Linked DNA regions of Alligator mississippiensis. The protein of the gene in region 1 interacts with the protein of each later gene in a biochemical or structural test. Links are inferred from orthologs where the notes say so. Each region holds a gene or a part of one and is shown on either strand. Other genes may lie near its edges.

Region 1 (7,921 bases):
ACTGTCCACTTAGTAGTTTTTATAAAGGGAAAATTATAACTAATTTCTAGTATAGATCGCTAGTATATAATTATCAGGGAGTTATCTTAAATTCAAAGTTGTCATGGATGTGGATAAATATAGGTATATCATAATCAAAAAAGGGCTTAGATTAATTTTGTCTATATGGTATAAGCCAGTGGATTTCAACGTCGTTAAATTCAAGACACCCCTCATTAATCTCAAAGCACCCTTCAGAAAAAGCCAGCTCTTAGTTTTCACAGGTTTATTTTTACTATGGAAAAATAATAGAGCATTTTTTCTGTTGCAAAGAACTTGGACCATGACACATCAGAAATTTTTTAACACTATGGACTCCTGTTTGAAATCTCTGGGTTCATCTTGTGAATCATGGCTGCTTGCAGATGTTTAAACCCCCACCCCCAAACCTCCCCAAAAACAATGCTTTACTTTAAACTTGGCATGCTCCCACACAGATCCCAGAGCATGGGACATGGGGCCATGGGGGAAGGCATGGTACACTGCGTTAGTTGGACCCAGATCACCAAAGTCTGTACAGAACAGTTGTTTTAGTGGGGCTTTTTTGGCACTTTTATCTAATAGCTGATTGACTCTCCTATTAGATAAAAGCCCAAAAAGCCCTACTGAAGTGCCCAATCTATACAGATACTAAGGAGCAAAAGGTTGAAGTAACTTGCTGCTTCTTCTGGTAAAGCGCTTTTTTTTTTTAACATCTGCATGCAGCCCATGTTTGCACACCTAACAGTACTAACATTGTGTACCACACCTTGGCACCCTTGCAAGGAACTCAGGGTACACCAGGGTGCTGCAGGACCCTGACTGAGAATCACTGGTCTAAGCAGAGTGACCGATAAATTGTAATCTATTTACAATCTTATCTACATTAAGAATTTTCCCAAAAGACTTTCCAGAATAACTATGTGGGAATAGTTATTTTGATACAAACCCCAAGGCGGTCAACTTTATTTCCAAGTTAGCCTCTAAAAGCTTTTTGATTTACAACAGTTTAATTATTCAAGAATAGTTACTTTGATAAATTTCCAAACGTGGGAAAGCCATTAGGATCTGACTCTGCATTCTTTCTTTACATGGACTCACTCAAGTCCACGGTAATCAGCAAAGACCCAGGAATCTGTGCATGCAGATCAGAAGGCCCATATACATCAGTGTTTAAAATTTGGAAAGGAACACAGTTTAAAATATATATATATTTCTATGTTAATTATTTAAAATGTTATCACAGGTAAATGCTTTTCATTCTAAAATCATTCTGAACCAGATATTACAAAATTATTCTGAACATGTTGTTAAAATTTTGTTTTAAATCAATATAAGACCATCATGCTTTGAGAATTAAAATACAAAAAATGAACCTGAAAACAGTTGCCCTTTCCCATTAACTTCAAACACTTCATGAACAAATTATGCCACTAAATGCATTTAACTTTCATGCACATTACATAAGTGTTTGTGAGACTGAGATCTCCATATGTCATACATTTCAGCCAATCATGCACATAACACAAAATGTATATTTATATTCATTACCTTTTTTCTTTCAGACAACAAAGTGATTGTTAAGCCTACATGTTCCTGCAGATGGGACTGTGTACAAGAAAATTAATATACTTCAGCAGATTATTTCTTAACATGGCACTCTGACTTTCTAAATACTACAATTTTTGTGTGTAATTTTTTCACTTTACTCCATCATATAGGAATAAAATACAAAACATTATTGTATGAAACAAAGTATTTTACCATTGGTTATACATCTTTGAAGACAAACATTCAGCTGTTTTAAAGCAGAATAATAGTAAAATAGAGAAACTCAAGTGAAAATTGTGTTTTGTTTGCATAATTCCTATTGGCATAAATGAAGTTATGCACATACATCAGTCACACTGATTACAAATGACCAGTTGGTTCATTGTCTAGTAAAGAAAACAGTGAGAACATATTCCCAGGAGTTCCAGTGTACCAATGCAAGCAATGTTAAAAACATTAGAATGTGCAAAGAATTTAGATCAGTTGCTCTCATTCAATCTAGTAAATTAGGCGTAAGTAGCTTCTAATTAAGTTAGAGGAACATAACAAACACACCCTTTTTCCTATGGGAGCTTTGCTGCCTGAAAAGAGGACATTGATTTAATATTTCAGTTAAATGCTGATGGCTGAATGCAGACTAAGAGGGAAGAATGACACTGCCACATGTTCTGTCCAAAACAGACTTCTTGAAGTAGCTGCTACCTCAACGATCAAATATTCAAAGCAGACTAGGTTTAATTTATGGAACTTTTTACAATGATAACCAAATGTGGTATGAATTTTGTATTAACGCTCTACAGCTCTGATTTCACAACTGATCCTACATGGACTGGTGATAGGCCCTCTGCCAGTTACAGGGCAGGAGTCAGCTAGGAAGTGGCCTTTTAAATGATGAGACTATTATTAGAATTACAAAACCCAGCAATAAACTCAAGTAACTTAAAAACCTTAGCAAAACATTTATAATTTTTACCAAACACACAAAAACATTGTGTGCAATTGGTGTCACCATTTCCCAGCATCACCAGCTTCTCTCATGGGAAAGATGCAAATGTGACAAAGGGAATGAAGAATTATTCAAATTATTGTTTAGTGTTCATATTATTTTTTAAATATACCCTCCCTGACAAAAGCTGGATTATTCCAAATCAGTCACAAAAAAGAAAAGTAAGGAAAGCAAAAATGGATAGAGGGCTGGGAAACATGACTTAGGAGGAAAGGGTCAGGGAAATGGGTTTACTTAGTGGGTGCATCCACACATCTACACAAGTAGACTAATTTCAAGTGCAGTATAGCATCACCCATCTACACAGGTGCAGCAATTGGGCTGGTGAACACTAATTTACAGTGCCATTGGATAGTCCTGTCTGACACAGGTACTATCCAGCTGCAGAGTAATTATTGCGCTTAACCATACATGTAGATGTTGATATTGGGATTAGTTTACTCTAGTTCATGGTAAACTAGGGTCATTCCAAAGAGGATGAAGCTAGACTATTCTCAGAAGTGGCAGATAACAGAATAAGGAGCAATGGTCTCAAGTTGCAGGAAGGGAAGTTTAAGCTACAATAAGGGTGGGCAAAATACAGCCGTAGGCTGGATCCAGCCCACCAAGGAATTTTATCTGGCTTGCAGCAGGTTCCTTGGCTCCGCCTGGCCCAAGGGCCAGGGGCAGCTCAAGCCACAGCACATGTTGCTGATCCCACTTCTCCCTGGTGTGCAGCGGGACAGGGGCAACACAGTGGCCAGACTCACTTTGCAGCTCCTTTCAGCCACTGCCATCACCAAACCCAGCCCCACTGCCCAGGCACCCTGGCCCATCTGCCTTGCACCCACCATCGGGGTACCAGATGGAGTGGGCAGATGGGGGTCTCCATGGAGCCTGAGACCCACACAGGCTGTGTGCTCAGCTGGGTGGACGAGACAGGGCTGCAGGTAGGCGGGAAATGCTGTCCAGGAGCAGGACAGGCAGGCAGGGACCAGGGCCAGGGCAATGACAGCATGGGGCCAGGCTCTGGGGTAGAGCCACCTAAGTTTTGGTGAGCTGTTGCAGACCATGGGGCTGGGAACAGGGTACTGACCACCTTGCAACAGCTCACGAAAACTCCCTAAGTGGTCCTCCAGCCCAAGTGATTTGTCACCCCATGGTTAGGTATTAGGACAAACTCTCACTAGGAGGGCAGTGAAGCACTGGAATGGGGCTGCCCAGAGAGACTGCAGAATCTCCATTCTTGGAGGTTTTTAAGACCTGGGGAAGACAAAGCTTGGCTGGGCTGAGAAAGCTGAGGCTGCTGCTTTGAGCAAGGAGCAGGGGGCTGGGAAGGTCGCTTCCAACCCCAGTGTCCTCTGGTTCACAGTTCACAGATTTCACAGACATTAGGGCTGGAAGGGACCTTGTAACATCATCGGGTCCAGCCCCCTGCCCAAGGGGCAGGAAGTCAGCTAGGATCCCAGCAAAATAAGTATCCAAGTGTGTTTTAAAGGTGTAGAGTAGGTGCTTGCACCACCCCTGGGGGGAGTCTATTCCAGCCCTTGGGGGCTCGGATAGTAAAGTTTTTCCTTATGTCCAGCCTAAAACAGTCTTGCAGGAGTTTGTGACCATTGGACCTTGTCATCCCTTGGGGTGCTCAAGTTGACCCCTCTTGCAGGCTTCAAGCTGTGGCTTTACACAGATGGTGAAGTGAGCTCCAGCCAGAAAGCTTCTATCTGCCTAGACGGAGGGGAGAGGCGCAGGTGCCCGTATTGCCAACTCTCCTTTTTGGTGTTGTTCTTAAAGTCTTTGCTTTCTTTTCTGTGTGTGTGCGTGTGTTAGTATTAGGAAATGTATAGCTACACACTTAGCTATATAGAAAAACTTAGCTTTCTTTTCTACACATACACATATATTAGTAATATATATTAGTATTAGCCTCTCTCTATATATAAACACATGGAAAAGAAAGACCTAAGTTTTTCCGAAGCGTGGTGTTTAAGTAAAGGCCCGTGCGAGCCGGCAATGCCGAGGCGCACCCGTGCTTCAGCCCCGGGTCGGCCCTGCCCGCGGGGGGCGGCGGCGAGGAGCTGCCCGCGGCCAGGCCGCGCTGGGGCCCGGCGCTGCCGCCGCCTCATGCCCCGGGGCCCGCCCGAGGGGCGAAGGGGAGCGTGTCCCCTGGGCCCGGCCGTGCCTACGGGCCACAGGCGGGGGGGCCAGAGCCGCTCCCCGCGCCCGTCGCTGCTCGGCCCGCACCAAGAGAGGCCGCGCGGCTCCGGGCTCCGGGTCGCGCCGGCCCGGGACAGCGAGGCCGGGGCGCTGGGGGGCGCTGCCGCCGCGCCGGGCCTGCCTGGCACCTCCCCTGCCGCGGCGTGCCCGCCCCCGCCATGGCCGACGCGGAGGACGCGGACGAGGCGGGCGGGCCGCAGGCGCAGGCGGGCTCGGCGGGCTCGCGGCCGGGCGGCGCCGACAGGATGTTCTCGCTCAAGAAGTGGAACGCGGTGGCCATGTGGAGCTGGGACGTGGAGTGCGACACCTGCGCCATCTGCCGCGTGCAGGTCATGGGTGAGCGCCGCCGGGCCTCGCCCGCTCTCCGGAGAAGGCCGAGCGGGCGGGCGGGCGGGCGGCTTTCCCGGCGGCCGCGTTTCGCCCCGCTCCGCCCCGCCCCGCGGCGGGGACACCCCGAGAGCTGCGGGCGCAGCCAGGCCCCGGGCAGCCGCGGGCCGTAGCCAGCCTCCCTCGAGCCCAGTCGGCTTCGCAGGTGATGCCAGCAACCCAGAGCCCGGCTCGCTGGCGTCTCCCTGGCCGCTCCGTGGTACCAGAGCCTCCTGCGCTGTCTGCAGGGCTTGGCTCCCTTCCACCCGTGTCCAGGTGACTGGAGAGCAGGGGCAGTGCCTCCCCTGGTAGATGGCATTTGGCTGTGGAGTAGTTACAGTCGCTCCTGGATCATCAGGGGTCTCCCCTGCATTCAGTTTCTGGGGATACAAAGCCTTTCTCCACCGGGGCTCTCAGCCGGGGCCATGAGGCACCCTGGGGTGCCAGATCCTTTGAATGGTGCTGTGAGGTGCGAGGAGATGAGCAGAGAAGCTAAGCAAATAAGCAGGTCCAGGGTTGTCCCTTCCTGGACCATCCCCCACCTAGACCTGGACACAGGCAGGGGTGAACCAGCTGCCCAGGGCCCCAAAATGGTAGCTTTTTTCCCATTGTCCGATTATGATTATCATTATTTCTGGCAAAAAGGGGGGCCCGATACTAAAAGCTTGCCCGGGCCTGGGTCTAGGTATGGTACTGCCCCCAAGCCCACTGACCAGCCCCTGGGGAAGGAGGTGAGTGCTGGCATCCATACATCAGCTCTTGAGATGTGGTGCTGCTCCATTCACAAAAGCTGTGGCGGACGCTTTGTCCGAGCAGGGATGCAGGCTCCTGTCCACAAAGGTTGAGAACCATCATTGCACACCATGGTACGTACGGTCCCTCTGCCTCTTTACAGCTCTGGAGTACTTTTCCCTTCCCAAGGAGCTGGACCACATGGCTCCTGCTCTTGCTGAAAACAGTAGTGCAACCATGGCCTAAACAGGGCTGTCGAACTTCTGAGTGGTCATGGGCCATGGGCTCTTTGGCCATGTGCTGTCCAGGCCACGTGGGCACCCCCCTCATGCTATGTGTCCTCCCCTGCTCCAGCTGCACAAAGAATAGGGGGTCTACTTAAATCACCGTTTTGCAGATTTAACAAAAACCACGAAATCTAGGAGTGCTCACCAAATCCAGAAAAAAAACCCTCAATAAAAATAAAATGCTGGCTCCCCAGTGGGAACTAGCAGTCCTTGTCGCTGTAGTAGCCCAGCCTCACAGCCCACCCAGGAGGGGAAGGCACTGGCTGGTGGGGGCAGCAAAATGAAGGGCAGCAGAAAAAATGTCCACTGTCCCCTCATTCTTTCTGCCAATCAGTACTGAGGTGTAGGGCCACATAAAGGACAGCTTGCAATCAAGTTGGCAGCCATCCCCTTAGGGCTTCCCCACCAATCAGTGCCAAGGGGTGGGGCTGCCAGAGCACATCCGCAAAATGTCCACAGAATTTTCTCATGATGTTGCAACCAGCCAGCAAAAATTGGTAAGTCTAACCATCACCTCCATGCTGCACTGGCCATGGACTTGCTTAGCCCCACAGGTGGCCCTGTGACACCCTGCCCCCGGGGGCAGGGACAGGTAGCAGAAGCTGGAGGAAGAAGGGGGAGCCTGGAAATCCCAGCAGCAGCAGCAGGAGAGCAATGAGGGGAGTGGTTCCTGGACTGGGAGCCACTGGTTAACTCCTTGGGGGCTGCATGTAGCCTTTAAGCTTCTAGTTGGACAGCCCTCTGTTAAGATTTTGACAACACGGCAGTTGAATATAATTTCATCTCTAGGTCGTGTGCATCTAGGACAGGATTAACTGTTCTAGTTCAGTGTTCTGTATCATTGGTAAGCAGTACGGAAACTAACTGCATTAGGCAGATATTCACATCACAAAAATCTCTGTAGGTAGCCTGCATCATCAGTCTCAGTAAAAGGGCTGAGGATTGTGGGTGTGGAAAACTGAACTATCCTTTGCATTGTAAGGGCAGTAAATAGTAAATAACATTTTCAGCCCTTGTATACAATTCCTTGCATCCAGAGATTTCAGTGTTATGCAAAAGCATATAAATATCAGTAAGGATTATTGGTTGTAGCTGTGTTGGTCTAAGGACTTAGGCAGACAAGATTCTTTGGTTAGATGTGATATCTTTTATTAGACCAACTAAATAGTTAGAAAAATTGTTCTTTGCAATAGCGTAGCCCAGCCATGAAGAACCCTGCATGCAGATCCAGGGGCACGCAACCACCTGCCCTCCCGGGCTGCATGCCCCCTCTCTCCCTGTGCCCACTGGATAAGCCATTCGCAGCTCTGTCTCTGGCCCTGCTCCAGCTATGCAGGGCTTGCCCCTCCCTCACCGCTGTTGGGTGGGGGGAGGTAGCAGTCAAGGCCCCAGTGGTGAGGGAGGGAGTGGGGTAGGGCTGGGGTCTTGATCTGTCTCCCCCCCCATGGCCCTTTCCCCTCCCCACAGACTTATCTGCTGGGTGGGAGGGGATCTTTCATTCCTTTTAAGTTCCAAAAGTGATCTCTAACCTAAAAGGGTTGGAGACCAGTGGTGTATATGCTTCTTTTTCAAGGGCTATCAATCCCAAACCCTTCAAAGTATTAAATTCACATACATGCACCCAAGTTACTGTTAAAGTTTTCCATATGTGAAGCGCATTTAAGAGTAATGTTACCCCATTATCCCATAATGTGGAAATTGACTTTTTTTAAAGATTAATTAGGGGTGCACCAATATATTGGTTGTCTATGGGATCAGCACCAATAAA
Region 2 (7,759 bases), on another chromosome or scaffold:
TTTCCTAGTTCTAAGTTGTCCAGACACTGGAGCAAGAGCCTGGGGAAGCCTCCCTTCCTGGAGATTTCCAGGTGGAGGATGCACAGGCATCTATTTGGGATCCAGCACCTCTGCAAGGGATTACACCAATCCTCCCTCCCCACCCCACTCCCCACCAGACCTGCTGTTCTTGCAAATCCCAGGTCCCTTGGAGTGTAATTGGTACACATCAGGCTCAATGATTCTGATCACCTTGATCAAAACCACAGCCACCCCTCCCCCACTGCAGATGACACTGGTCAACCCCCAAGCTGGACTGGGACAACACAACGGAGAAAACCAGCAAGATGCCAGACTAACTGCTGCCAAGTCCATGAGATAGTGGCAGCTGAGAACACTGGTGAGTGAGGACAGGAGGACATCCCCCCACCTGCCTGATGCCAAGGCACCCAAGTTATTTCTGGAAGGAAGCTGCAGGTAGCAGTCTCCTGCAAGCTCCCCAGGCTCAGGAAGCCTCAACTGATCTCAGCAAACGGTCTGCCTTACATCTGACACTCCCCTAAAGTCTCAGCTGAAAACTGGGGCCCTGACAAGGCTCCAGATCAGGGAAGGGGAACTCAACAGTGCAGAATGGTTCAGAATGGAGGGGGACGGGGGGTTGAAAATGGGACCAGAGCCCTGCCATCAGGCAGTCTCACTTGGACAGCCCCACACAGCTACAGGCCTGCCCCAGCAACCTAGCTCCCTCACATCTCAGTCATAACTCAGGGAGGGGGTAGAGGAAAAGGACCTATGGCTATGGACCCTAGCAAGCATCAGGTGGAAGAAGCCCCAGTACCCCCCCCATTCTCCCTCCACATCTTCCCTTACCTACCTTGTACCCCCAAATTCCACCCCCTCTTTACAACTAAGCCAGGATTCAGACTCCAAGGACTCCCAAATCCTAATCTGTTGGATCAGGTCTGTGAGAGAAACAGCCCAGCCTGTCCTCTTTGAGGAGGGAGAGTTCAGCTATCCCCCAGCCTCTGAAAAAGCATTTGGGAGAAGAAGGCAAGTCAGAAGCCCCCTTCCCACATCAAACAGGAGATTCCGGCAAAGCCAACAAAGCCTCAGCAGAGAAGTTTCGGCCAGCAGCTGCTGTTCATCCACCACAGGCCTGAGTACTGACACACTCCTGTGGTGACAGCCTGCCAACCTCCCCCCCTCCCCCACAACCTCCCCTTCCAAAACCCCCTTGTTCCCCAACCCAGGTGACCTGTGAAAATGCCAGAAGGCAAGAAAAGACTGCAGTAGAGCTAGGGGCCACTTGGAGCATCAGGAGATCTCTTAAAGAGCTCCGGCTGCACTCCATTCCCTTTTCTCTACCACTAGGCCCATAAGGGGAAGGGCCTGGCCTGGGGCTCAACCACTGGTCCCTTCCCCAACAGGAAGGAGCTGGAAGTCAGCACCATACAGAGGGGATGAATATCTCCCACTTTCCTGCCTTTTTCAACCATAAAAATACACGCACTCTAGGTGCTTGTCCCCACAACAGAGGCCTAAGACCTGGAAGAAATTAGGCCATGATGCTTCAGCTGCAGCTGGCCATTTCCAGATGCCTGAGCTTTAAAGGCCATGTAGATTTTAATAATTCAGGCCTCTTGGAAGCACCTCAAATCTTAAAACCCAGCTTTTGTTTGCAGCTGCATCTAGAAGCAAACATGCCATGAGAGTAAAATATTAATAAAATCAGGCATTACAGGCATGGACCTGGCCACTGAAAGCCCCGCTGCATGCTGATCTGACAGCCTTTCAGACGCTCGCTAACTTGCCATGTGCCCACCAAGAGTGAAAAAAGGAGTTTCATGTACATGTGCCACAAACCAACCTCCTAAAGTTTGCAAGAGCAGTGTAAAAAATCTACTAGCCCAGGCACTGGACTAAGGGGGCCACCTTCTGGGTCTCCGATTCACCTCTGAAAAACTGGACATCTCCAATCATTTTTTTTTTGGAACATCCAAAAGGAAAAAACTGCACCAAAAAAAAGATAATAAAACAGCAACTGTAGGAGCTAGGCAAGGCCTTGGAAGGAAAAACACTTCCCCAGCTACTTGCTAGAGTCTCTCTTGCAGGGGACCTGACCCCCGCCTGGACTCACAGATTACTGCACTACCCACGACCTCATTTTTACAGGGATTTGAGACATTTGAGCAGAATCCCCCACTTAGACTGCAGCAAAGTTGGGCCCAGCAGAGGAAAAAACTGGCCCCTGTGGTTTTTCTAAGCTTCACAAAACAAGAAAAAAAAGAACCAAAACAAGCAGCCAACCCACTCTATAGCCACTTTCAAGCTAGCAGTGGAACAGCAGCTTTTTAAAGGAGGCAGCCATTCTCACAGATGGAAAACAAAAAACCCGAGTCAACTTTCACCTCCAGATAAGGCCTGTTAAAGCTTCCTTAGTTTGTTTAAATGGACTCAACTTTCACCAACACCCCTTTCACCCCCAAAACCATATAAAAGGGCTGGGGTTGCTCTGTTATTGGTAAATAACGATAGCCCAGGACAGCAGATTCCCACGCCCCAAACCAAGCAGCAGACCAAGGGCTGCCAGGAACACCCCGCACCCCCCCCCCCCACACACACACACACAGAGTTACTGTTAGGCCATCCTCTGAGTCTGTATATCGAAGAGGAATCAAACACCCCAAAATGTACATGCTCCTCCCCCACACCCCAACAGCCACCAGGCCTAGCATCACATTACAGCTGCTATGACCACCACCAACACACAGGTCCCTGCTCCATAGGGCCTACCCACCTGCCCACCCCGAGAAGAGGTTAAAGTGAGGCCCCTCTTAACACGGGGGTGCAACCAGCTCCACCCACCCAAGGGCCACCCTGTAACCTGGTGGGTGGGCACTAAGGAGATGTAGAGAGAAAGGGATCGAGAGCCACTCACCATGGTGGTGGGTCTGGCTGGAAGTTGGCAGAGACCGGGGGTCCCTCACCCCCCTAGACTGACAGGCCCCCCCAAAGTGCACAGGGGCAGCCCAGCACCGTACAGAGTCCCCTGTGCACTGGGTGGGGAGAGGCAGGGTCTCCTCCCAGGCCCCCCCCTCCCCACCTGTGCCCACCAAGCCCCCCCAATCCCACTAACGCCCTCCCCCACACTGGGCTGGGCTGCCCCCTGTCCTCCACCTCGTCCGGCCCACCCTCCCCGGACAAGGCCGCCCCTTCTGGCAGCTCTCCAGCCGTCTCCCACCCTCTGCACTGAGGCTGGCGATTGCCCAGCAAAGGACTTTATAGCCTTTGGCCCCGGCCGGCCACGCCCCCTCCGAATCCCGGCCGCCCAATCAAGCCTGGTGGAACGGAGTGGGTCGCCCCCTCCCACCCCCTGTCCCCGAGAGGACGTTGACAACAAACGTCCGCGACGGGCGAAAGCCAATAGAGAGTGAGACGGGGGGCGGAGCCAGCGGGCCGATTGGAGGGATTTGAATACGAACCTCGCGAGGCGGCGGTTGAAGGGGAGGAGGGAGGCGAGAAGAGCGGAAGGGAAGGTGGGGGGAAAGCTGTTTACCCCAACGGTTGCAGGCAGGGGGCGGGGCGGAGGTTTGAAATGCTCGATCGCCAGGTGGGCGAGCCAATAGGAACGGACGAGTCCGGGGGGGGGCTCCCATTGAGGGCCGTTTCCACACAGGGGCGGGGAATAGGCCCTTGGGGGCGGAAAGGGGAGAGGGGGCGGGGAGGTACTTCCTTCACGCATGAGAATGGACAGGCTGGGCAGCCATTCAGGGATGAGGATTCGGAGCGCTCCCCCCCCTCATTGCTGTAGTTGCGGGCTCGGGAACTGGAGTGTCAGTGCAAGGGGGAGGGGAGGCGGGAACCTTAGGGTTAGCCCGGCCCCGCCCCTGGCACTGGTGCCCCGCGGGGTGTGAGCTATGAGCTTTCCTGTCCTCAGGCTGTTCCCTGGGGTGCCCCAGCTGTGGGGGCGAGTTGATTTGGGGGATGTCACCCCTTCCTGTCTGTGCATCCCACGGGGCCAGGCACGAAGGCCTGAGGGGGCAGGGCTGGAGCCCAGGGTCTGGGAAAGATACCCAAAGAGCAGGGCTGAGGATGGGGGGCACCCACACTCACAGCAGGGGAGAGTGAGGTCAGGGTTTACATTGTTTCCTTCCAGCTGTAAGCCCACAGGGTGGGCGTTTTGCTGATTCCTGTGACCTTATAGGGTTGCCAACCCTCCCAGCTTGGCCAGGAGTCTACCAAAATCGGCATAGATTTCCCAGTGACTATTGAAAGCAATCGGGGAAATTGATATTGTTAATGGTTTGAGCAGTACAATTACTGATATCATGTTGGGGAAAAAAAAATGGAATAGCTTCAGAGTTGGCAACCCTATGACCTTAGGGATTGGAGCCTGTGCCCAGGCTATGTGCATCCCAGGTGGGCCAGCTTCAGCCCGTGCTTCCACTCGCACACTATTGTGTCACCAGCCTCAGACATGCCCCACCCCAGATGGGTCTGTATCTCAGTGCCACTGTCAATGAATACGGAGGCCAGTAGCAGGAAACATCAGTTTATTCAAAAAACAGGGTTACAGCAATTCCAGGGACTTGCAGAACAGCCTCTAGTACTTGTTCAGACACGCTGTGTGTCCCTGTCCTGTGGGTCAAGCTTGGTGCCCTTCGCCTGGCCTGCTCTGTGCTCCTCTCCCACACTTGCTTTGTGGTGTGATTTTTTCTGCGTGTCAGTTCGTGTGGATTTACCTGAATTGTTTCTGACACCGGCAAATCTCTGTGCAGTGCAGGGCTGGCAGCGTGAATGTTTTCATAGCAGCACAGAGTACATGGAGGAGCTGAGGGGTCAGTGGCACCCTGTTCCATACAGTCTGGACTTGGGGAGGAAGATTGAGTGCCAGTGTGGCACCACCCCTTGCTGGTTTGTGTGGCAGTACCCCTGGTTGTGTGTGTGTGTGCAGATGCTGATCCAAACTACCCCCTGGTAGTGTGTGTGTGGCACTCCCCCCTACTATTGTGTGTGTGTGTGTGTGTGTGTGTGTGTGTGTGTGTGTGTGTGTGTGTGTGCAGATGCTGGTCCAGACTGGCTAGATTCAGATTATGTACATGTCTATGTGCTTGTTTGTGGAAACTGCCCTATACTGGCTAGATTCTTGGGTTTGTGTGCATGTGCATGAGAGTGTGCGTATGAACACTACCCCATACTGGTAGATTTAAATTGCATGCACGTTCGTGTGTTTGCATTTACACACACGTACTTGTGTGGACACTACCCTACATGAGCCTAATTCAGCCTATGCATGCAAATCCGTTTATGTGCATGCCTGAGTGTTCATATGCGTGCGTTTGTGTAGTGGGGCACTGTCCTCTGCTTGTCTAGCATAGGAATTGTCCTCCTGCCCACAGCTGACCCTGCCTTCCCAATGGCTTCTGGGAGCTGCCTCAGGGGGAGCAGGGCATTTCCAGACTCTGCTTTGCCCTGTCTAGATGAGGCAGGGGGCCACTGAGGGTGGCCATAAGCAGAGCTGTCCCTAGTGGTGTGCGGAGTCCAGGGCATATCAGCCTGTGTGGGGCCGGAGGGTCGGGGTGGTAACTGCCCGCAGTAGCCAGTGGCAGCATCACCAGTGGGGCAGGAAGGGGGATGGCAACCGCCCACAGAAGCCAGCGGCAGCAGAGGGGAGGGAGGTGGCAACCACCTGCAGAAGGCGGCAGGGCCTGTATGGCACTGCGCAGGGCCCCCCAAAACGCACGACCCAGGTTGGTCACCCTGATTTACCACCCCTGCCTTCCCCCCAGGGACGGCCCTAACCATAAGGCACGTGAGCCGATGCAGGAAAGGGGAGGAAATGATAAGTCATCCAACATCAGGGGTGAGGGATGAGAAGGGATCCCCTCAACACTGCCCACTGGGGACACCCTAGTCCCTTTTGCTTAGGCTGCAGGGGCTGCCCACTCATGGAGACCAGGGGCTGGGCAAGATGGGCCTGTGTCTCCATCCTGACCCTTGCTTTTCCACAGGCCCTGAAGGGAAGTCGAAGGTCTAGGCAACTGTGCCCAGCAAGCACCTTTGGAAGATGCAAAAAAGAGCCTGGTCCCCAGTGGGTATGAACAATCCTGATGCCCCAGCTACAGGGAGGAGGTGTTGTGGGACCAGGCAAGGGTTTCAGGAAGCACCAGGTAGGTTAGTAGAGGGTGCTGTGCTGCAGGAAAAGGGACAGGGGACTTATGCCATGGGGTGTGGAATGGGGTGGGAAGGTTGGGTGATACCTTAGAATGGGGAGTGGAACAGGGGGCTCAGCAAAGAGCACCATACTGCAGGGGGGTGTGAGCTCTTTTCTGTCATACCAGGGAAGCATGCAGTGGAGTGCAAGTGTGTATCAGCTAAACCATTTGGTCCCTGGGGCCTTTTACTGCTGGACATGTTTGGAACATTGTTGCTAAGAATTTACCTCCCTGGGATTTAGCAAACTCCTTCCCTAGTGTGGATTTGTCTGAACCCAAGGGCTTGCTCATGAAGAATGGTCTGCATGCTGTGGCCTGGGGTAAGCTCTCATGTGGATCATGCTGGCTCCCTGCCAGGCAGGAAGGCCCTTATGTGCCTTCCTGATTTAGATGCAGCAACTGCACTGGGCTTGTCAAAGGAAGAGAAGGGATAGAGGAAAGCAAAGAGCAGTTGAGTGGTAATTTGCTGTGAATGAACAGCAAGCCATGAACAGGTAGGTGCTACTGACTGGTGAACAGGAGCTAGTGACTGGTCTATGGGGGTGAGTGACTTGTGAACAAGCCATATACACTGACTGGTGAAAGGGTGTTAATAACTTGTAAATGACAAGACACCAGGGGTAACTTAAATAATGTGCTATAGAGTGCAAACATCAGCAAACAATGAGCAGTGAATAGTGAATCACATGCAATGAATGGGGAATGAGGAACAAAAGTCCCTAAAGGGCAGACAATGGCAAAGTCACAAGAAGACCTGACAGGCTCCTGAGACCACAGCCCATGGCCATCAGTGATTGTTGGAGAGTGAAAATTATCACCCAGGAATGGCATCCAACAGCCTGTCCAGCAAAGCAAATGGAGTCTCAGGCCAAACCTAATACCACTGCAATCTTGGATAGACAACTGAAACAGCCAAGAGTGATGAAGCCATGGTGGGCAGTTATAAAGACCACTAGGCATGTCTACACGTTTATTAATGCGCCGTAGTTACAGCACATTAAGTTTAGTACTTGGTTAACCCCAAGTACTAAATCAATGCTCAGTAACTTGCACTACTGCACGGTAGTGCTGGTGCACCAGTTTTTAGTGATGCTTACTGTGCAGTAGCCTACTACTACTGTGCAGTAGCATATTAGCGCAGTTTCTGCCTGGAAGGCTACTGCACAGTGTTATTAGGCTACAGCACAGTTAGCGTCTTGTATAGATACACCCAGTGAGTCAAGTAAGGAAAGGGTGGGGACTAGGAGTAGGGAACAGGGAATTGTAGTGACCACAGGATAGAAATATGATAGGAAAGAACAGTGGGTAGTGAATGATGCTTTAGGTTTGGTGAGTGGAATAAACTGTAATAGGTAAAAATGAGTGGAAGTTGCCACCTAATTAATGGTGGATGGTGACTGGAGATTCCTAATTGGTTCCTGATGAGTAGAAAGTGACAAACAATTACCAGTAATGGTAAGTACAGAATAATGAATTGTGATGTGTGAATAAATAGGATTGGATTACAAAGAGTGATTGGGTCATTCATTATACTGAGTAGTAATAGAGACTGTATAGATTATAGA
Region 3 (7,395 bases), on another chromosome or scaffold:
ACAGGAGTCCCCCCATGATCCCCTCCCCCTGCCCCCTCTCTTCTGCCCCTAGTACTTACCGGCTTGGAATTGGCTGCAGCTCCCTGCTGCAGCCACTGGGGCTGCCCGAATCATCATAGCTCTCTGAATCTTTTCTGAAGATTCGTAGAGCTTTGAATCAATTCAGACCTTTTAATTGGTCCCCTGATTCAGTTTGGATTCAGAGATTCGGCCGCTGAATCAGGCTGAATCTCTTCTGAATTGAATCACCACCCAAAGTTTCACACAGCCCTATTACAGGCACAACAGGGTCTGTTGGCTTCCCTGTGGCGCCCCCCCAAATTGCTGTTAAGCAGAGATCCCTTTCTCCCCTCTCCCATAGCACAGACTGTAGCCAGCATGTGGTATGCTAGCTAATGCTGTGTAAGGCAGATAGGACAGTGTCCACTTAGGGCTTTCTGGAGGTAATCAACAGGTAGCTGGTAGGGACGAGGACCACTTCCCTGGGAAGTTGGCCACCCTAACTGTAAAATATTGTCTTCTGATCTCTAACCTAAACCTATTCTCCATCAGCTTATTACCACTGTTCCTTGTCACTGCAGGTGGTGCTGGGGAGAAAAGGGCTCTGCCTATTTGCTGTTGATCTCCCCTGAGCCGGGTCTCAGTTCTCTTCCCCTGTACTGTGATCAGCTGTAGCCCGGCTGAGGGAGGTAGGGAGAGCCAGGGCTGTGTTCCTCGCCCAGCTGAGCCACATGGGGCTGCGGAGCTGTTGGGAGTCCCTGTCTCCTACCACCTGGCTGCTGGGTGCTTTGAAACTCAAAACGTTTTGAAACTTTTGAAATGTTTCAACTAGCCTCGTTTTCTTTCAAGGCTGTTTCGAAGCCCTTTGTTTCGATTCAATTTAGCTGTTTCGAGCTTGGAATGAGTTGAAACAGTGTTGAATCGAAACAGGCAGCAAAATTTTGCACAGCCCTACTAGCCAGCAGGCAGACCCCATACTGAAGCAACCTTGTGCTTCAGGCAGCTGGGATAGTGTCTGCACATGCACCGCTGCAGAGTAAAAAACTTTGCAGCAAGATAGTACTTATATTTACAAGTGCTACCTTGCTGCAGAGTTAGTTCACTCAAGACTAATAGGGGCACACGTGTAGATGTTCAACATTTACTGTGTAGCTAAGTAGTCTACTCCACCGTAAACATTTTGTGCAGGCAGAGAAGGGAAGCTGCTAGCTCGTGGTGGTGTGGTACAAAAGGCAGCAGACAAGATGATGGGTGCCCCCTTGTCCTTTCCATCCCCTGCCAGGAACTCTCCGCCAATCAGCATCAAGGGGTGGGGTGGCATGAAGTGCTGTCTTAGTCTGTGGTTACTGCTTTTGACTGATGGGATTTTTGTTTTGATTTAAAAGGTTACAACAAAATACTAGAGCTAGTTACAATATTCTGTGCTGAAATTTCTCTCTGTCCTGAAAAATAGATTAATGAATGCTGATTTTCTTCATACAGAAAATGTCTAATCTACCTAAAAATGTTAGCTCTCTTCCTGGAGGAGAAGTAAAAACAATTTCCTTTTATTCTCCAAATATCAACTTTAAATGGTACTTTGTCTCATCTTGATTCAATTCTTCTGGGCAAATGAGTAACTATAGTAGATCTTTTTCAACTGAAAATGTTCAAATGAAAATACTTTGCTCAATTTCTCACAATAAAAACACCAGTTTTATCAACAGCTCTAAAAAACTTGTACTGAACATAGGAGACCGGGGTTTGATTCTCAGTTGTGACACGGAGTTCTTCACTGAATTTTAGCATGTCACCTAATCTTTTTTTTTCTTCCATTCTTCATCTATAAAATGAGAGCAACAGTGCTTTCTTCTTCCCTCAATCTAGCTTGTTCAGACACTTCTTAAAAACATGCTTATTTGGATTTGTATGACAGTTGGCACAAGTAGCTCCTGATGGGAGTATTAGGGCCTTTTGTTTTTACTGTTGACAGTAAATTATGCTTATGCAATGAGGAAGTAGGGGGAAAAAGAGAATAGATCAAGTGAATGACAAATTCAGTTTACTAAATGGTGCAATTCAGTTTATTTGGCCAGTTCTAAGGTGGCTCAGCCAGAGATCTCAAAGCCCTTGAACCAGGGGCGATCTAGATCTATCAGGAATCCATTCGGTCCCATACATGCTGGGAAAAATGCTGTTACAGTAACTGCTGAATTTTGTGGCAGCATCAATTTATTCTTCCATCACAAAACACCTCCATTTCCATTTCCATTACCACTTCCTTCCAGTTTCACACAACTACCTGGGAGTTGAATGTAATTATCACCAGGGCTTCTTTCTCACAAGGATAGGCTACATTCTCCAGATAGCATGGCTCTATTCCAGTTCTCTAGACACTATTCAGGAGTCCTGATGGAGAGCCTGCAATTTACCAGGAAAGAAGAGAGTTTTTATTTATCATCTGGTCACCCCTCCCAATGCCAGCTGAGGATCAGAGCCCCATTCACCAGGCACTCACCAGGAATATAACACCAATCCGACCTAGTAGCCTGGGGTGCTTGTACAGGTGACGGGGGTTTCGTTCTCCCTAAATTGAAACAATGGGTTTTTAATTGTGTCATTTAAAAACCCACCATTTTAATTTAGGGAGAACAAAACCTCAGCCATGTGTACAAGGGTGAGGGGGCCTGATCCTTTTTTTTTCCTGCCTCCTGCGGCGGGGCGGAGGGACGAGCTGCCGGCAACCGGCCAAGCAGTCCTTGAGCTGCAGGGGAACCTGGCCCTTCCCTCCCTTCCCTGCAGGGCGCCCTGCAGGCAGCACCTGCCTGCTAGCACCTGGGGGGTGACGCCACCGTGGAGGGAAGGACCAGGACCCACACATCTTGGGGGTTGTGTGACCCAGCGGTAGCTTATGCAGGCAGGCTCAACTGAAGGGATAAAAAAAAGTGGCAAGGAGCCTGATCTTTTTTTCCCCAGTCTACCTGCCTGAGCTGTGCAGGGCCCCATGCTTCCCTCTGCAGCAGTGGCATCCCATGGGACCACCTGGGTGAGCTGCTAGCAGGCAGGTGCTGCCTGGGCGGTGCTGCCACCATGGAGGGCAGCACCAGATCCCACTCAGCTCAGGCAGGCAGGCTCTTTTTTTTTTTCTCTGTTGGGCTGGGTGCTAGTGGGCAGGGGCCACCTAGAAGATGCTGCTATCATGGAGGGAAGGACTGGAGTCCCCTGCAGCTCAGGGACTGCTTGCCACCCCCTCTCCACCCACTATGGGAGAGGCAAGTAGGCTCCAGCGCCCTGTGTACCATCCCTTCCACCTTCCCGCTGCCTGGGACTTCCCAGGAATGGCTAGCTTGCCCCTGGGGCAGTACAGCAAGGTGGCAGGAGAGTGGCTGGGTGTGCTGGAGGTGGGTGAAGGTGGTGGGATTGGTGCCATGAGGCACTGGAAGCCCAAGCCCAAGTACATTGGCTTCTAGCACCCTGTTGCATTTTGTTCTGTAGCAAACTAAAGTACCTCCAAGGGGTTATTTAAAGCAAAATACACCTCTGAACGTGTAAATAGCAACACCATTAAAGCAGAATACACTGCTGAATATGTAAATAGCAATGCCATTAAAGCGGTGCAAAAGGACAATTAAGCCACTTTAATGGCCAATTTTGTTGCATGTCTGCAGTTTTTGTTCACTGCAGTCTGTGAATAAAACAAGAGTGGGAGTGGGCCGGGGAGCACAAAACACAAGGAGCCTGCGGGAGCTGCCGGTCAGGGCCCGCGGGCTGCGCACGGTGTCAGAAGCCCAAGCAGAAGGCTGTAGCTGGGGTGGGTCCGGCGGGAGGACAGTGGTGCAGCTGCACCCCCCCGACTTCCGATTCCTGCCCCATCCAAACTATGGAACCGACGGCCGGGAGAAGCAGCGGCCTTTCCATTGGGGCAGCGCTGGGGGAGGCAGCTGCCTTCCTGATTCAGCCGAGCCAGCCCATGGGGTTTTGCTCTTCCCCAAAAGGGAGAGTGTTCACGTGCGTGCATCCCTGTCCCGAGCCCTGCAGCAGCGGGAGGGCGAGAGGCCCGCGCGGGCGAGGGTAGCCAGACAGCCCAGTGCGCCCAGCCACCCGCCCGAAGCCCGGCAACGCAGAGTCACGGTGACTCGGCAGAAGGCGCCGCCCTGCGCTGCTCCTTTAAATAGCACCAGCTCCCAGCGCCCCCCGCCCGTGAGGGAAAAGCACGGGGAAAGTGTTGGCCGGTCACGCAAGATCGCAGCACGGGACAAGACTCGCCCCTTCCCGTCCGCTGTGCCTGGAGACCGTCGTGTGCGCGCCGCCGCGCCGTGCTGATAAAGTTCTTGTTGCAAACACTGAATCCGGCGGCGTCGCCCCGGCCCCGCCCCCCACTTCCGGCTCTGCAGCCGCGGAGGAAGGAGGAGGAGGCCGCGGCCCGTTCCCGGCTCGGGCCTCGCGGGGATGGTGTTGGCCGCTGCGGCGGGAGCCGGGACCTGAGGCGGCGGCGGCCAGGTGAGCGCGGCCCGGCCCGCCGTCAGCTGCGCTCCCTTGCTGCTCCGGCTCGGGGCCCCCCCCCACCCCCGCGGTGCTAGCGGGCGGGCCGAGGCGGGGCCGGCGGGAGGCCACAACCCTGGGACCAGCCGGGTCGGGGGCCCCGCGTTGCCCCTCCCGGGGGCTCCCGTCTCTGTTCCGCGCCCCTCCGGCCCCCTCCCTCTCCAGGGCGGCTCTGGGCTCTCGCCTCGCCCCCCCCAGGGACCCCGGGCACTCCCTGCCCCTGGGTCGGGCGCTCGCACAGACCTCCGCTCTGCTTCAGCACCTTGGCAGGCGCCACCAAGGAGGCAGGAGAGCACAAACACTCCTGCCTCTGGTCGGCTTGGTCCAGCAGCTGCCCCCTGCACTGCATCATTTGGCTCACAGGCCCCCCCCCCCCCTGCTTTGGGAACTTGGAGTTGCTGCTCCCCTGCTGCCACACTGGGCTCTTGGGGCTGGCAAGGGGGGCAGGATGCCAGGAGCAGATCCCCACGCGTGGGGCTCAGACCCTATCCAGGTGCAGAGGACCCGGCCCTGTGTCAGGCTTGGTCTGGCTCATGGGTCAGCCCTCATCTGGCCCTTGGGGCCAAAAATCAGAGCACCACTGAGTTAATCCATAAGGTGCATCTCTCCTTTGCCTTCTGCCTGACTTCAGACTAGTGTGGTTACCTATGTATCTTTGCTGGTAGATGTGACTCCTCCCTGTGAGGGGCCTTCTGCTGTGCTCTTGTGCTTTGGTGCAAAGCAGCAGGAGCCAGGTCCACAGTGGTGTTTAGGTGTATAACTCCCATTGAAATTACAGCATTTGGAAGCTGAGCTTTGAAACGAGGGCCTTGTAAGACCAGGCCTACGTGCCCCAGCTTATCTGGTCTTCTATCCCACTCCCCTTAAAAGTAGAACCTCTGCCAAGCTTGTTTCTCTTCCCCCTTTCTGCATTGAAGGAGCACAGCTGCCTGGACTATTTTCTGTCCCTTCCTCTGTTCCAGAGAGGGAACCAGTGAATTTTCATTCTGCCCTGCCTCACTTTGCCTTAATTAAATTTATATTTGCCCTTGGATACATGGCTTTGTCTAGTCTGAGTCAGTAGCCTAATACCAGATGCTGTCTGTCTTGGTGCTTTCAACCTTCTTGCATTTCTTATCAGTACAGCATGCCAGCTGATACTGTGAAAACTGTTTTCCTTTTAAGATGACCTTACTGGTGCACGTCTTTGCCATGTTGTTTTTTGAGTTTTGTTCTGAATATTTTCATTTAATTTTGTATGCTCCTTTACTAAATGCACCAGCACTTTCAGGTTCTTCTCAAGTTAGGCATGTAAATCCCAGTCTGGAACCACATTGCTGCTTTCAGATTTTACAGTGGACTTGGCCAAATTGGCAGGGCTAAAATTTTTTCCCCAGTGGCTTTTTATTTTGTGGTATGAATGAGTGTGATAAGAGGGTGAAAAAGCTGCTGATACAGGGATCTGATAAAGTTCAGTTTTGTGAACTGCTTGCAAGAAAGGAGCATCCATGTGCAGAGTGTTCTACCAGATTCTTCATTTCACGTCTCAGATTGGCCTCCATGGTGTTCCCACTGCATTGATTTATTTATTTATTTTTTGGTTCTGATTACATCACCCTACCTATAAACTCCTCAGTTGGCTTTCTGTTTTCCACTCTAAATTCATACTTCTATGGAATATTTTAAAGGCCATATGTAATTCTGCCTCTTCCTGCTTTTCTGTAGCTTTTTATTCAACTTGACAACTTGTGTAAAGACCCAAGCTGTCCTGGCTTGGGGTTTTTTTTTTCTCCTCTACCTTAATTTAGTTAATTCATATATGGCAGCTTAAGAATGAACCCTCTCCTCCCCTCCAAGAATAGTAAGGCCTCAATGTCTTGGCTTTTCCATTCCTTTTGGTGGCATAACTGCTGGCAAAAAACAATTATCTACAATCAGGTTGTTTTTTTATCAGTGTGTTCTGGCTTTGCTTTTTGGCATTTTCAAGCACTGATCTTTGTATGCTGCCTATTAATGTAATAAATTACTTTATGCAGGGGGGGTTGGATAGTGACTTACTGGGCAACTCTTTCTTAGTTGGTATCAGGGAGGACTGCTATAACAAAATATCACTTCCGTCTTTGAGCCTCTCTTTGAGTACCTGTCTAGGTATTTACTGTGATAATGATAAGGAGCACCTAACAGAGAATGGTATCTCTGTTCACTGTAGATGCTGGTAATTGTCAAAGCTGCCTCAGGACCGGAGATTTTTGTGTTACCTCTTCCTATTCCATGGTATCCCCCTTCCCTGATGTTCTGTGTGGCCAGAACTGTTGGGAGAAAGTTGTTTCTGAATACAGCTTTTGATGTCTGTACCTTGTTCTCTACGGATATGCATGGTCTTTTCATATTTGCAACTTCTTAAAGGTTCTCTGATTGCTTGGATGGGCTCCTTTATTGAAATTCTATAGAAATAACAAGTTCAGGAAGTGGTATGTTTAGCTAAGAAAGAAATAGAAAGAAATTTCCTTGATAGCAGAGTGAAACTTACTGAAATTTCTCTGCTGTAATTGATTCTATGCTAGAACCTGATGCACTGTAAGCCAGTTCACTCCATATTTACACCTGGACTTGTCTCAACCCAACTTTAAATATTCCGTTCGGTGCTTAACCTCATGTCCTAAAACATTAATGGCTTTTATTGGGTGCAGTCATTTGTCGTCTTGCAAAATAACATTTTCTTAGTGGCTTTATCAAGTGGCTTTTACTGCCACTGAGTAGCATGCTATGGATACCACTGAACTCTCATTTATCTGGAACTCAAAATACTTTATGTAATTATTTACTTTTCTTTTTAAAACTATTTTGGTTGTCTTGCACTTTGAGGAGTGCTTACCAGTCTCTCTGCTTGCATTC

Evidence for each region. The genes of interacting proteins can lie anywhere in the genome.
Region 2: the proteins of RNF7 (region 1) and UBE2S form a complex in vitro, tested with the Homo sapiens proteins (3 studies listed by BioGRID). The link is inferred for Alligator mississippiensis from reciprocal best matches to the Homo sapiens genes RNF7 and UBE2S.
Region 3: the proteins of RNF7 (region 1) and UBE2F form a complex in vitro, tested with the Homo sapiens proteins (10 studies listed by BioGRID, with this or other methods). The link is inferred for Alligator mississippiensis from reciprocal best matches to the Homo sapiens genes RNF7 and UBE2F.

Annotation. Positions count from the first base shown.
Region 1 is NC_081830.1:55,992,801-56,000,721, forward strand, and holds the start of RNF7 (RING-box protein 2), read left to right. Parts: upstream 1-4,909; 5' UTR 4,910-4,926; coding exon 4,927-5,104; intron 5,105-7,921. Other genes in the region: uncharacterized protein LOC109284208, read left to right, coding at 1,584-1,595. UniProt on the Homo sapiens protein: Catalytic component of multiple cullin-5-RING E3 ubiquitin-protein ligase complexes (ECS complexes), which mediate the ubiquitination and subsequent proteasomal degradation of target proteins.
Region 2 is NC_081828.1:74,782,524-74,790,282, forward strand, and holds the start of UBE2S (ubiquitin-conjugating enzyme E2 S), read right to left. Parts: upstream 3,084-7,759; 5' UTR 2,921-3,083; coding exon 2,918-2,920; intron 1-2,917. UniProt on the Homo sapiens protein: Accepts ubiquitin from the E1 complex and catalyzes its covalent attachment to other proteins. Catalyzes 'Lys-11'-linked polyubiquitination.
Region 3 is NC_081827.1:187,282,616-187,290,010, reverse strand, and holds the start of UBE2F (NEDD8-conjugating enzyme UBE2F), read left to right. Parts: upstream 1-4,312; 5' UTR 4,313-4,479; intron 4,480-7,395. UniProt on the Homo sapiens protein: Accepts the ubiquitin-like protein NEDD8 from the UBA3-NAE1 E1 complex and catalyzes its covalent attachment to other proteins. Together with the E3 ubiquitin ligase RNF7/RBX2, specifically neddylates cullin-5 (CUL5).